Ovis aries: one gene and its partner. The protein of the gene in region 2 purifies or fractionates together with the protein of the main gene of each other region. This does not show direct contact. Links are inferred from orthologs where the notes say so. Each region holds a gene or a part of one and is shown on either strand. Other genes may lie near its edges.

Evidence for each region.
Region 1: the proteins of PLA2G4A (region 2) and S100A10 purify together in Homo sapiens (affinity purification with western blotting; 3 studies listed by BioGRID). This does not show direct contact. The link is inferred for Ovis aries from reciprocal best matches to the Homo sapiens genes PLA2G4A and S100A10.

Annotation. Positions count from the first base shown.
Region 1 is NC_056054.1:101,965,707-101,970,952, forward strand, and holds the start of S100A10 (protein S100-A10), read right to left. Parts: upstream 3,314-5,246; 5' UTR 3,262-3,313; intron 2,990-3,261; exon of another isoform or gene 2,706-2,989; intron 1-2,705. UniProt on the Homo sapiens protein: Because S100A10 induces the dimerization of ANXA2/p36, it may function as a regulator of protein phosphorylation in that the ANXA2 monomer is the preferred target (in vitro) of tyrosine-specific kinase.
Region 2 is NC_056065.1:67,363,918-67,368,893, reverse strand, and holds the start of PLA2G4A (cytosolic phospholipase A2), read right to left. Parts: upstream 3,427-4,976; 5' UTR 3,321-3,426; intron 1,957-3,320; 5' UTR 1,917-1,956; intron 1-1,916. UniProt on the Homo sapiens protein: Has primarily calcium-dependent phospholipase and lysophospholipase activities, with a major role in membrane lipid remodeling and biosynthesis of lipid mediators of the inflammatory response.

The DNA.
Region 1 (5,246 bases), on a different chromosome or scaffold from region 2:
GTGTTTACTGAAGTCATTTTATTGTGATGTCTGTGTTTCTCCTATACAGGTCTGAAGAGTGGATACTCACATATGTTTCTTTGTGTAACTGTCTCTTCAGAAAAAATTTCTGGGCTCTACAAATTTAACTACAGTGGTGGGAATTCAATTTTTGCTGTACCTACACTGAGTGTCTACTTTGCATGACTAGGCTCGTGTGGGCCCCCTCTCCACAGCCCCCACCCCCCATGGTGCTTGACTTTGGGGAGTTCACCAGCTAAGGTCATACTATTTTAAAATATGTCCTGAAATCTAGTTAACTGTTCTTCTGTGTCTTTCTCCACTAAACTGTGGGCTCCAGGAGCAGGGTCTTAGAAGCCAGCACCCTGCCTTCAGAGACTGCTCAGTGAATCAGTAAGAAGGAAATTGACAATAATATAAATTTTGAGCCTTCTGGGAGTAGCAGGGAAGTAGGGGTCCTCCTTAGAAAAGTGTCTGCTCCTAAGCAATATCAAATGTTTGCTATGGACCCATGCCCAGATCCAGGCCATAATTTCAAAAAGGAGATTTCTAAAGAGCAAGAAGTCTGATCTCTTCTGTGTCTTGTCCATGCCCTAGTTTTCTTACAGCCCACCCAAAAAACAATTAGCAGAATGTTAGTAAAAACAAACATGTTATCTAAAACGTGTCTTAGGTGTCCTTCTTTTTGATGATTTTAAAAAGAAAAAAAAGGGGGGTGAGGGAAGGGGAGTGGGATCGGGAATTGAACCCCAAAGGCATTCTTGAATTTGATCCCTAAAGGGAATTCAGCAAAAGTGAGTTGAGGCAATGGATCTAATCCAGGCTGTCTCTCCCACCTTTCACCAAACATAAAATTTTCCCATTAAGAAAATGAGCGGCAAAATAAGAGTTCCAGATACAATCCTATAGGAAGAACTCTGAGGCCTTCCTACCCTAACAAAGTACATCCAATTCTCCATGAAGAGCTGTCAGGTATCAGCCAGAACTGGCAAACGGCCATTGTGACAACAGCTATTAAATCCATTGTTGGATTAGGTGGTAGTTATTTAATAAAGGGCCAGGAAGTGCTGAAAATCGTTAAAAATCATTCTTTTTGCTTTCGATGTGAGATTCCTAAATTGTTGAGTCTCAGAAAAATGAGAACCTTAAGACTCTAAAAAGATCAGCTTTCCTAGCAGTCTGAGTGCTAATCTATACTTTATATCTCTGAAAGGATTCCATTGTTTCCTTCAACTTTAAAAGACTGGACTGGATCAAGGCCATACCAAGTGGGTAGTGCTCTAAAAAAGTCACAGGGTTGGAGCTGTCCGTGGAAAGCAAAGAGGCACTCAGTTTCAGCTCCACCCAGCCCAAGGCCTGACCTCACTGGAGAGTAGCTGCTGGAGAGGTTGGCCAGGTGCCAGACATGGGAGGCAAGGGGGCCATCTGATGTTGTACACAGGAAAAGCCGGGGAAGAGCATCGCCTAGAAATCAGAGTGCTTTATGCCCAGAAGACCATTAGGAGAATCTGAAGAAACAAAATAAGAATCTCCAAATGGTGGATCAAGGACCACAGTGAAGAAAGTAGCTTCTGGCTGTCAAGGGAGGAATACATCACTTGGAAGAGATGATTAAACAGAAACCAGACAGGAGTCTGTGCGGGCAGGGCTGAGGAAGAAATTTCAGATGAATTGTGAACTCATTCCTGCCCTAATGCCTGGCATCACCTTTTGCAATTTGATGAAATATGCTGGAGGCAAAGATCACTGACAGGGTGTTTCCGTGGGCCTGGCCTCACCTGAAGGGCAGGATATAAGTCCACGGCTGCAGTTTGAAACTCATGCTGTAGGGGAAAAAGAATCTGCAGTAACTGCAAACCTCTCAATGGGAAGCACTACCTCCCAAATAAAGCTGAGGCAGCCTGCCAGTGGGAATCCAGACCCATAACCCAGCAGCTGAAACGCCATGACCCTACCAATCTAACTTGTCCTCAACCACAGTTCAGTCAAGAAACCTCTCCTTCAGATGGCCGGCCTGTCCGGGTGTGACTCATTTCCTCTTGGAAAATGCCCTCTAAAATGGCACAGTTCCCCTTTTCCTTCAGGGGAGTGTTCTGTCTGAACCATCTGCAGAGAGTCTGGAACCATCCAGACCACACCCACATGGTCTCACAACTGAGTCACAGGCTTCCACTAGGAGAATCCGGGAGCCCTTTGTGCTAACCACGCCCTGCAGAAACCTCAAGGGAGGGAAGCGGGTGGGCTTAACGTATTCCAGAGTCTGGACCAGGGCCCCGTGGTGCCTGGCACAGGGCTAGCTGCTCTGCTGGCCCCTCCACCCTCGCCCAACAAGGCAGATTCCGGGTTTCAGTTAGGTGGAGACCGCCCGAGGCTGGAGAGTGCGGTATTCAGGTCTGGGGGCAAAGCACCAGTCCTTTGCCAGGCTCAAATTGTGTCCAGGTACCAACAGTTCATTTTACTGGGCCAGGTTAATCTGGGGTGTTAGATCCTTCATTAAACTTGCTCTTCCTCTATCTCTGTATAGATCCACTAAAATAGCAAGAAGGGAACCCTTTCAGTACAAAACCCACTTCAGTGGTGGCCGAAGGTGATGGCTTCCCCTTACCCCCTCAGCAAAACTGTTTTATAAGGAAAACAAATAGAGCCGTCTTCCCTCCGCTGGTAGAGAGAAACTTCTCGTCTAGCAGACAAATAACAGGAAGCCCAACCTTGAAGCTTCGAGGAGAGGGACAGAGGGGTGTCCTTTAGGGCGAGAACCCGCCAGCCCTCTCCGAGTCTGCACGGGCCGTCCAGCTAGGAGGCTACGAACATCTGGACAGAAGTCAGCCTGCAGCCGGAGCCCACAAAGAAACAAGCCGGCCAGGACAGGGGGCCAGAAACAGGGATTCGGGTAACTGCGGAGACCAGTCGAAAAGCAGGAGGGGTGTAAACAAAGATATACCGAAAGGTAGCGCAGAGCAGACCCCGGGGCACCGACACCGAAGTACTGGTAAAGGCCAAGTGCTCCCTCCTCTGGGGGTCTGGGGGGGTCGCGCCGGGGAGGGACAGGGGAGGTGCTCGCCCAGCTGGGGTGTGGCCCAGAGCTCGGGGAGAGGATACCCCCGCATGCCCAGCCGACGCCGGACCACCACCATCGTCGCACCCCCACACCTGGGACGCCCGGTGAAGACCGCCTGGCCAGCGGGAGCCGCCGACGTGGGGATTTCCCCGGGCGCGGGCTGTGGGGCCGGGGACCGCCCGGGACCGGCGGGCAGGACTCACCTTGGCGGGAGGCGCAGCGGGGACGCTCGGCTGGCGGGGACGCGCGGCCAGTGAGCACAGCGCCGCGGGCAGGGCGCCTTAGTACGTGGGGGTGGGGGGCGGGGGGAGGCAGGAGGAGCCTGGGCGGGTGGCAGGGCCTCGGCTCACCCCACCTCTTCCCCTCCCTCCTCTTCCTGCCCGCCTCCCTCTCCCCCCGCCCCGCCACACTCACACCCCGGGCGCAGCGCACACACCCTTCTCTCGCTATGCGGAGTAGCCTCGCTCCAGGCCTCCACCCGCCCCCAGAGAGAAAGATATTGTCAACTCTTCCTACTCAAATGCTCTCGAATATTTTCGTGCCCTTCCTCTAGGGTTTGCTTTTAGCGAGTAAGTGTGGAAATCAAAGAATCCAGTCGTTCTGCGGGTGGGGCGCGCTGGCCCGGAACCAGATTGTAAGCTCCTCGTCTGTAAACTACAGGTCTAGGAATTATTTTCTACATGATATTGTAGGGAGGGGCACCTGACGCAAAGGCCTCAGACTTGGTTTCAGATTAGACTCTAAGAGGTAAATTGGGAGGGGGGGGGTCCAAGGCCTGCGGGGGGTCTCCCCCTCACCCGCCGCCCCGCCTAAGGGTTGTTCTCGGAGAAGGCGAGTTCACTACCCGCCGCAGTGAAGGGGGTGGTGGTGCTGTTTGGCTTTTTAGCTCCAGGGCATTAAGAACCTTTCGTTGAACTGGAAATTGACCCCTCTTAGCGTGCGTGGCAGTTGGTCTGGCGTTCAGTTTCGGCTGTAGTTGACATGATTAAAACCTGTTTAAGAATCTCCTTTTTTTCCTTTTTTTTTTTTCCCCTGAAATTGGCCTGTTTGGTCCTCAAAGCACTTCGGAAGTAATTTAGAGAAAACCTAAGGGTTTCCTAGCTGGTGCTATCCACTCCCCCACCCCCAACATTTATTTTAATTGTGGTTCAGGGTTAAATGCAAACTACTAGCAGCTGTTGGTGGAAAAGGGCCCAGTCCCAAGTCTTGGGTTTTCCTTTGTTCCCAGGGGAGGTCCTGGGAGGAGTGAGTGATCCCTGAGGAATGAGCAGTCTTGGGGAATCCTCCAAATGCCTCCATGTGACTAATCTGAGCTCTTGCCAGGAAAACTCGGATTTCAGTTCTCACTCCACTGAGTTCCTCAACCCTGGTGCTGAACGTTCAAGGGGGCAGTTCTGCAGCCTTCCCATAGGCTTCCTAAGCTCTTCCTAGGCTGTTGGCTACAGTCAAGAGTGGAGAAAATTCTCGGTCCCTTTAGTTCCAGGAAAGATGCAACTGGATTTAGAATGAGAACACCTGAGTTCCTATACTATGCACTCCTTGATTCCTTCACTTGATTTGCAATGTTTAGGAATGCTTAGTGTATGTACTGAAAGAAGGCGATGGCACCCCACACCAGTACTCTTGCCTGGAAAATCCCATGGACGGAGGAGCCTGGAAGGCTGCAGTCCATGGGGTCGCTAAGAGTCGGACATGACTGAGTGACTTCACTTTCACTTTTCACTTTCACGCATTGGAGAAGGAAATGGCAACCCGCTCCATTATTCTTGCCTGGAGAATCCTAGGGACAGGGGAGCCTGGTGGGCTGTCATCTATGGGGTCACACAGAGTCGGACACGACTGAAGTGACTTAGCAGCAGTGTATGTACTAGGGCATGGGGATTCGGAAATCAAAGAATCAGTCTGTCCCTCAAACTTCAAGCTTTGTTGGAAGATAGATTAGCAAACAAAATCCACTGAGCTCAGTGAATGGTAGAGGATGCTATCGGACACTGTGAGCATTGAGGAGGCACCTCCAAGTCCCCATGGAATTATCACAGAACAATTCCTGGAGCAGGAACATTTGATAGATGTTTTAAAGATAATATTTACCATGACTTTTAAATTTGATTGTAAAACAGGTGCATTCTTCTTGTAGAAGGTTTGGGAAATATACCAATGTATAAGGAGAAAAATAAAATCACTTGTA
Region 2 (4,976 bases):
GCCAGTGCGCCATGACTGCTGAAGCCCCAGTGCAGCAACTGCTGAGCCCTCATGCTCCAGAGCCTGTGCTCCACAAGAGCAGCCACGCCAATGAGAAGCCCAAACCCTGCAACGAAGAGTAGCCCCTACTCGCTGCAACCAGAGAAAGCTGGCGAACAGCAATGAAGACCCAGCACAACCGAAAATAAATAAATAAATAAAGTTGTAAAAATCTATCCAAATGTAACAAACATTTGTTTTAAGAGGTCCTAAGTGAAACACTATTAATAACAGCAGAAAAATTTCATCCCTGTAAAGATCTAGCAATTTATAATCAGCTAATACAGAATTTCCACTGACAAAAAATTAGATCTTAGCACCATACTCTCTGGCTCATGGCTAGACTGCCATCACTTGCATAGTGCCTGACCCATAGGAGGGCTCACTAATATTTGTTTACTATCTGAATGAATATTAAAGAAAAGCTAAAGACTATAAAAATGTCTTGTGAGAAAATTTCATGATTGAGGAGAAGCATGTTACAAAACAGCAAGAACAGTGCATTAAATTAATTAAACATGGAGGTCATTAGACTAAGGTGACCCTAATGCCACCACAACCTGCATCAGCAAACCAAAATTTAAGCCAGTAAATGCCTCAAAGTTACAAAATCGAAAACTAAGGACAATCATTCAGAAACAGCCAACTAAGCTTTACGCTGTAGCCAATCAATAAATTCCTTACTCTGCTTCTGCTTTTCCTCTATAAAATCTCTCCCCCCATATAATGTCAGTGAAGCACTCCTAACCACTTCTGGTTGGGCACTGCCTCATTGCAATCACTTTTTCCTCAAATAAACTCAAATATTTTTTAATATGCCTCAGTTTATCTTTTAACAAGTGCAATCACAATTTTGTGAAATCTACATATGGATAAATGTATTATAGAAAAATGTCTAAAAATATAAAGAGATGTATATACTTGAATTCCTTGTCTCTATGCTGATGCATGCTAGTTACTCAATAAATATTTCTGATTGAATAAATGACATTTTAAAAGTAGTTACCCCTTAGGGGGACTATATGTACAGTTTTCCTTTTCTTCTTTGTAATTTCTATATTTGACAAGATTTAACCAATAAGCGTGAATTATCTTTGTAATAAATAAGAATATGATAAAACATACTTATGCTGGGAAATGTCATTAAGAATTTTGGAGCAAAAGTAGCAAATATAGACATCCTACAATCTAATAAAAAGAATAACATGTATCTTACTTCCCTATTACGTTTTACTGATTGCATTTGGCAATAAGAAATACAGATGTTACAGAAAAATGGCAAGCTTAAGACTGTACAGCAAATTACTATTGGGGTGGAGTCTAGAATGTAGGTCATTTGATTTCCAGGCAAGTAGTTTTTCCATTACACCAATTATTTAGAGTTCTGAAACACTAACTGAATAAATGCAATATTCACTATAAGGCAGTTCTTTACTTATAAGGGAAATAATTTGCTAATTATTTTATACTGTCAGAAAACTCCAAAATTCTAAGAAATACTATGTTTTCACATGACATGAATCATTTGGAGAATCTGAAATTCCTAAAGGTGTTTAAAAATTTGTGCATTTTTGAGGAGCATATGTCATTATTCAGGGAAGGGATCTACAGCTTTCATAAGATTTGTAAAAGGGTCTGTGAAAATAAAAAAGAAGTTGAGAATGACTAAAGCTTAACTCTACAAGCAAGAGGAAGAAAAAAACTAATGGTAAATAAAAGGCACAAGAGAGGAAAAGGAACCACAGCTAATTCTGTCTTCCTCTTTTTTATTCCTGGAACATATTTTTTTAATATGCAAACAATTTGGTTTTTATGACTTTGCTTTCTAAGCAGACACTAGGAATGATACTGATAGGTTAAAAACACAGGCAAATTACCTCTGTGGGATGAGCTTTATCAGGTACTGTTAGCAAGAAGCTGATAAATGTAAAATGTAAAAAAAGGAAAAAATTAACATTGCAAGTCACTTTTGAGATATTTTTCATTCATGTTTAATTGAGAAAAGGAAAATTATTAAATACATTTCTTAGTTTCTTATCCCATGAAATGTGCTTCCCCTACAGGAAGTTTGTGAAGCAGTTTTGAGCAAATGCAGATTAAACACTTCTCTGTGCATTTCACAATTATTGCTTAAATGAAAATTTAACTCTTTCTTTGCACAATGAAAGAACCAAATATCTGTTGTTTAATCCCAATATTCAACTTGATCGGCAAGGTTTAGAGATAACTGGAATATAATTTTAAAACTCTTAAGCAAGATTTGTTTCATTATTCTTCCCTGCAAACCTCTCTTAGGCCACAATTTCAAATTTGTGCAGCAAACAGAAATAAAACAAAACAGAAATTCCCCTTGAATCCAAAAGGTTATACATGCAAATATCATAGGTTGAAATTGACATACATCCAAATGGTCTGCCTCCTGTATGCTCCATCTCCCTTAGATGAATAAGTGCTTACGTCATCAACCAACCTGAAGACCATTTCTTGTTTTACGTTTTGAGGTCATTTCTAAGACTAAAATGAGTACAATATAGGAGACTTAAATAAATTAAACCACTATCATTTCAAATCCAAGTGGCTTTTTTATTATTTTTAACGAATGCTTTCAATACGAAATTACTAAAATAGTTTCCCACTCAAAACTTAACTTTCTTATTTGAGCAAATCTTTTCCACATCTAGTTTCAAGCTCTGCCCTCTTGGCATGTCCAATAACTTAGAAGGACGAATCAGAAGGCCAGTCATTGTACAATTAGTTTTTCAATGTTGTCCATCTTTTCGCATAACACTGCTACACATTAAATACCCAGGTATGCTTTGCATAAGTAACCGAAATGACCGTTTTTCAATTAAACCTTAAATGAGTGGATAAATTCCTTCGCTAAAGAGCCTCAGGGCTGTCAAACAGCAGGTTGCTCGCTCGTATGGGCATTGGCCACAACCTCACGTGGAGCTCTAGCTAGAGTCACCTCGCTGTGGTTCTAAACGTTAGCTTTCTTTCCGGGCTGTAAAAGAAGGAAACGCCTTATCTTGGACTCCACGGTGCCTCTAGCCCCCGGAAAGCAAACTGGCATTTGTTAGAAGCAAATTAAGGTCCCCTGATCTGTGTCTTATTGGAAAATACAGAGGGCATGCAGACTTTCGAGAGAGCGATGCCTCCTAGCCTTCCCTCCGTCCCTTCCTCCTTCCAAGCAAGGTAGAAACTAAAAGTTAGCGAGAGGGGGAGAGAGACCTGGGAGCGAGCGGGGATGGGGGTGCGGGGAGAGTAAATAGATTGCTTACAGTTCCCAGAGTTACAGTGAGATCCTTCGGGCTCCTTTACGCCTCTAGTTTTCAGTCGGGATCCTTTCTTAGCCCGGGACCACAGAGAAGTTCAAGTCTTATCCTTGGTAGGAGGGGCTAAAATGTGGGCTGGTTTCCTTTCGTCTTTGCAGATGCGTTAAGGTGGAATTAAAAAGGAAGGGAGGGAAAGCGCTGTTCTTGGAGGAGTTAACATCTTAAATGTAAACGTTTACTGTTTAGAACTAGGATGCTGAAGTCAGCCAACATGCACAAGTAAAATGTAAGTTAACCAGTTCTAAATTTCATGGATGCTGTGTATGTATGTGTGTGTTTGAAAATCCTTCTTGTCCTTAAGTAGCTACTGCTTCCTCCTTTTTTTTCTCAACAAGAACTCAACTGAAAAGATGAATAACCCAGAGCATTTTTTTTCTTCTTTACAAAAGCAAAGTTTATAACGAACCTAAAGTATAGGCTACACATTTTGGAGATGAACTATTAGACCACTTTAAAAATGAAATCAATTTAAATATTTCCTCCCCAAACACCAAAGGCCAGTTTATAACCACGTGTTTGTAACTTTAAGATTAAAGACATACCAAAGAATGTACTACATATGTTGAGATTTAGGGGGGAAAAAAAATCAAATCAGGTTAAATCAAAAATATGCAAAGTAAATTCAAATACCTGATGTCACTGTAACAAAGAAGGTATATAGATTAAATTTATCCAAATTCCATAAGAATCAATTAGTCTCTTTAAAGACTGACCTATTCGTTTAGTATATCTTGCTTTTCAAACACAGGATCTTCTAATTCGGTCTTTTTTTAATTTATTTTTAATTGGAGGGTAATTGCTTTACAATGTTATGTTGGTTTCTGCCGTACAATACTGTGAATCAGCCATAAGTATACATATGTCCCCTCCCTCTTGAAACTTGCTCCCATCGGCTATTGCATCCCACCCCTGGAGGCTGTCACAGAATACTGCATTGTGCTCCCTCTGTTATACAGCAATTTGCCATTACCTGTCTATTTTACGTATGGTAGTATATATGTTTCAGTGCTGTTCTCTCAGTTCATCGCGCTTTGTCCTTCCCCGCTGTGTCCATAAGCTTGTTCTCTATGTCTGCGTCTCTACTGCTTCTCCGCAGATAGGTTCACCAGTATCATTTCTCTAGATTCCATATATGCATTAGTATATGAATTTTGTTTTTCTCTCTGACTTAACTTCACTCGGTATAACAAGCTCTAGGTTTTATCTTTCATATTGAGCACACTCTTTTAAAACATTTTCGAAGAATATAACTTCTGTAGATGCCATCATTAATATTCTGGAAAATTATTTGCTTTCTGTAGCCCAAGATCCAACTTCTTTTTGTCTTGATTTTCTCCCGTAAATTCAAACTGCTATATCATCAATCTATCCTTCCTAAAGAAAAGGTCTGTGGTGTCTCAGAAAGTCAAGATCTTTTTCTTTCCGAAGAAGATTCTGAATTTCTGAAGGTTAAGTATGCTAAGTAGAGGAACAGAGAGCACACTACTATTTTTTCTTTTTTACCTTTTTCCCAAGGTGAAAAAAAAAAGACTATGTTTTTCATGGCATACATCCTAAGACTCTTGTGAAGAAAGACTCCTTTGAAAAACAGCTTCAACATGC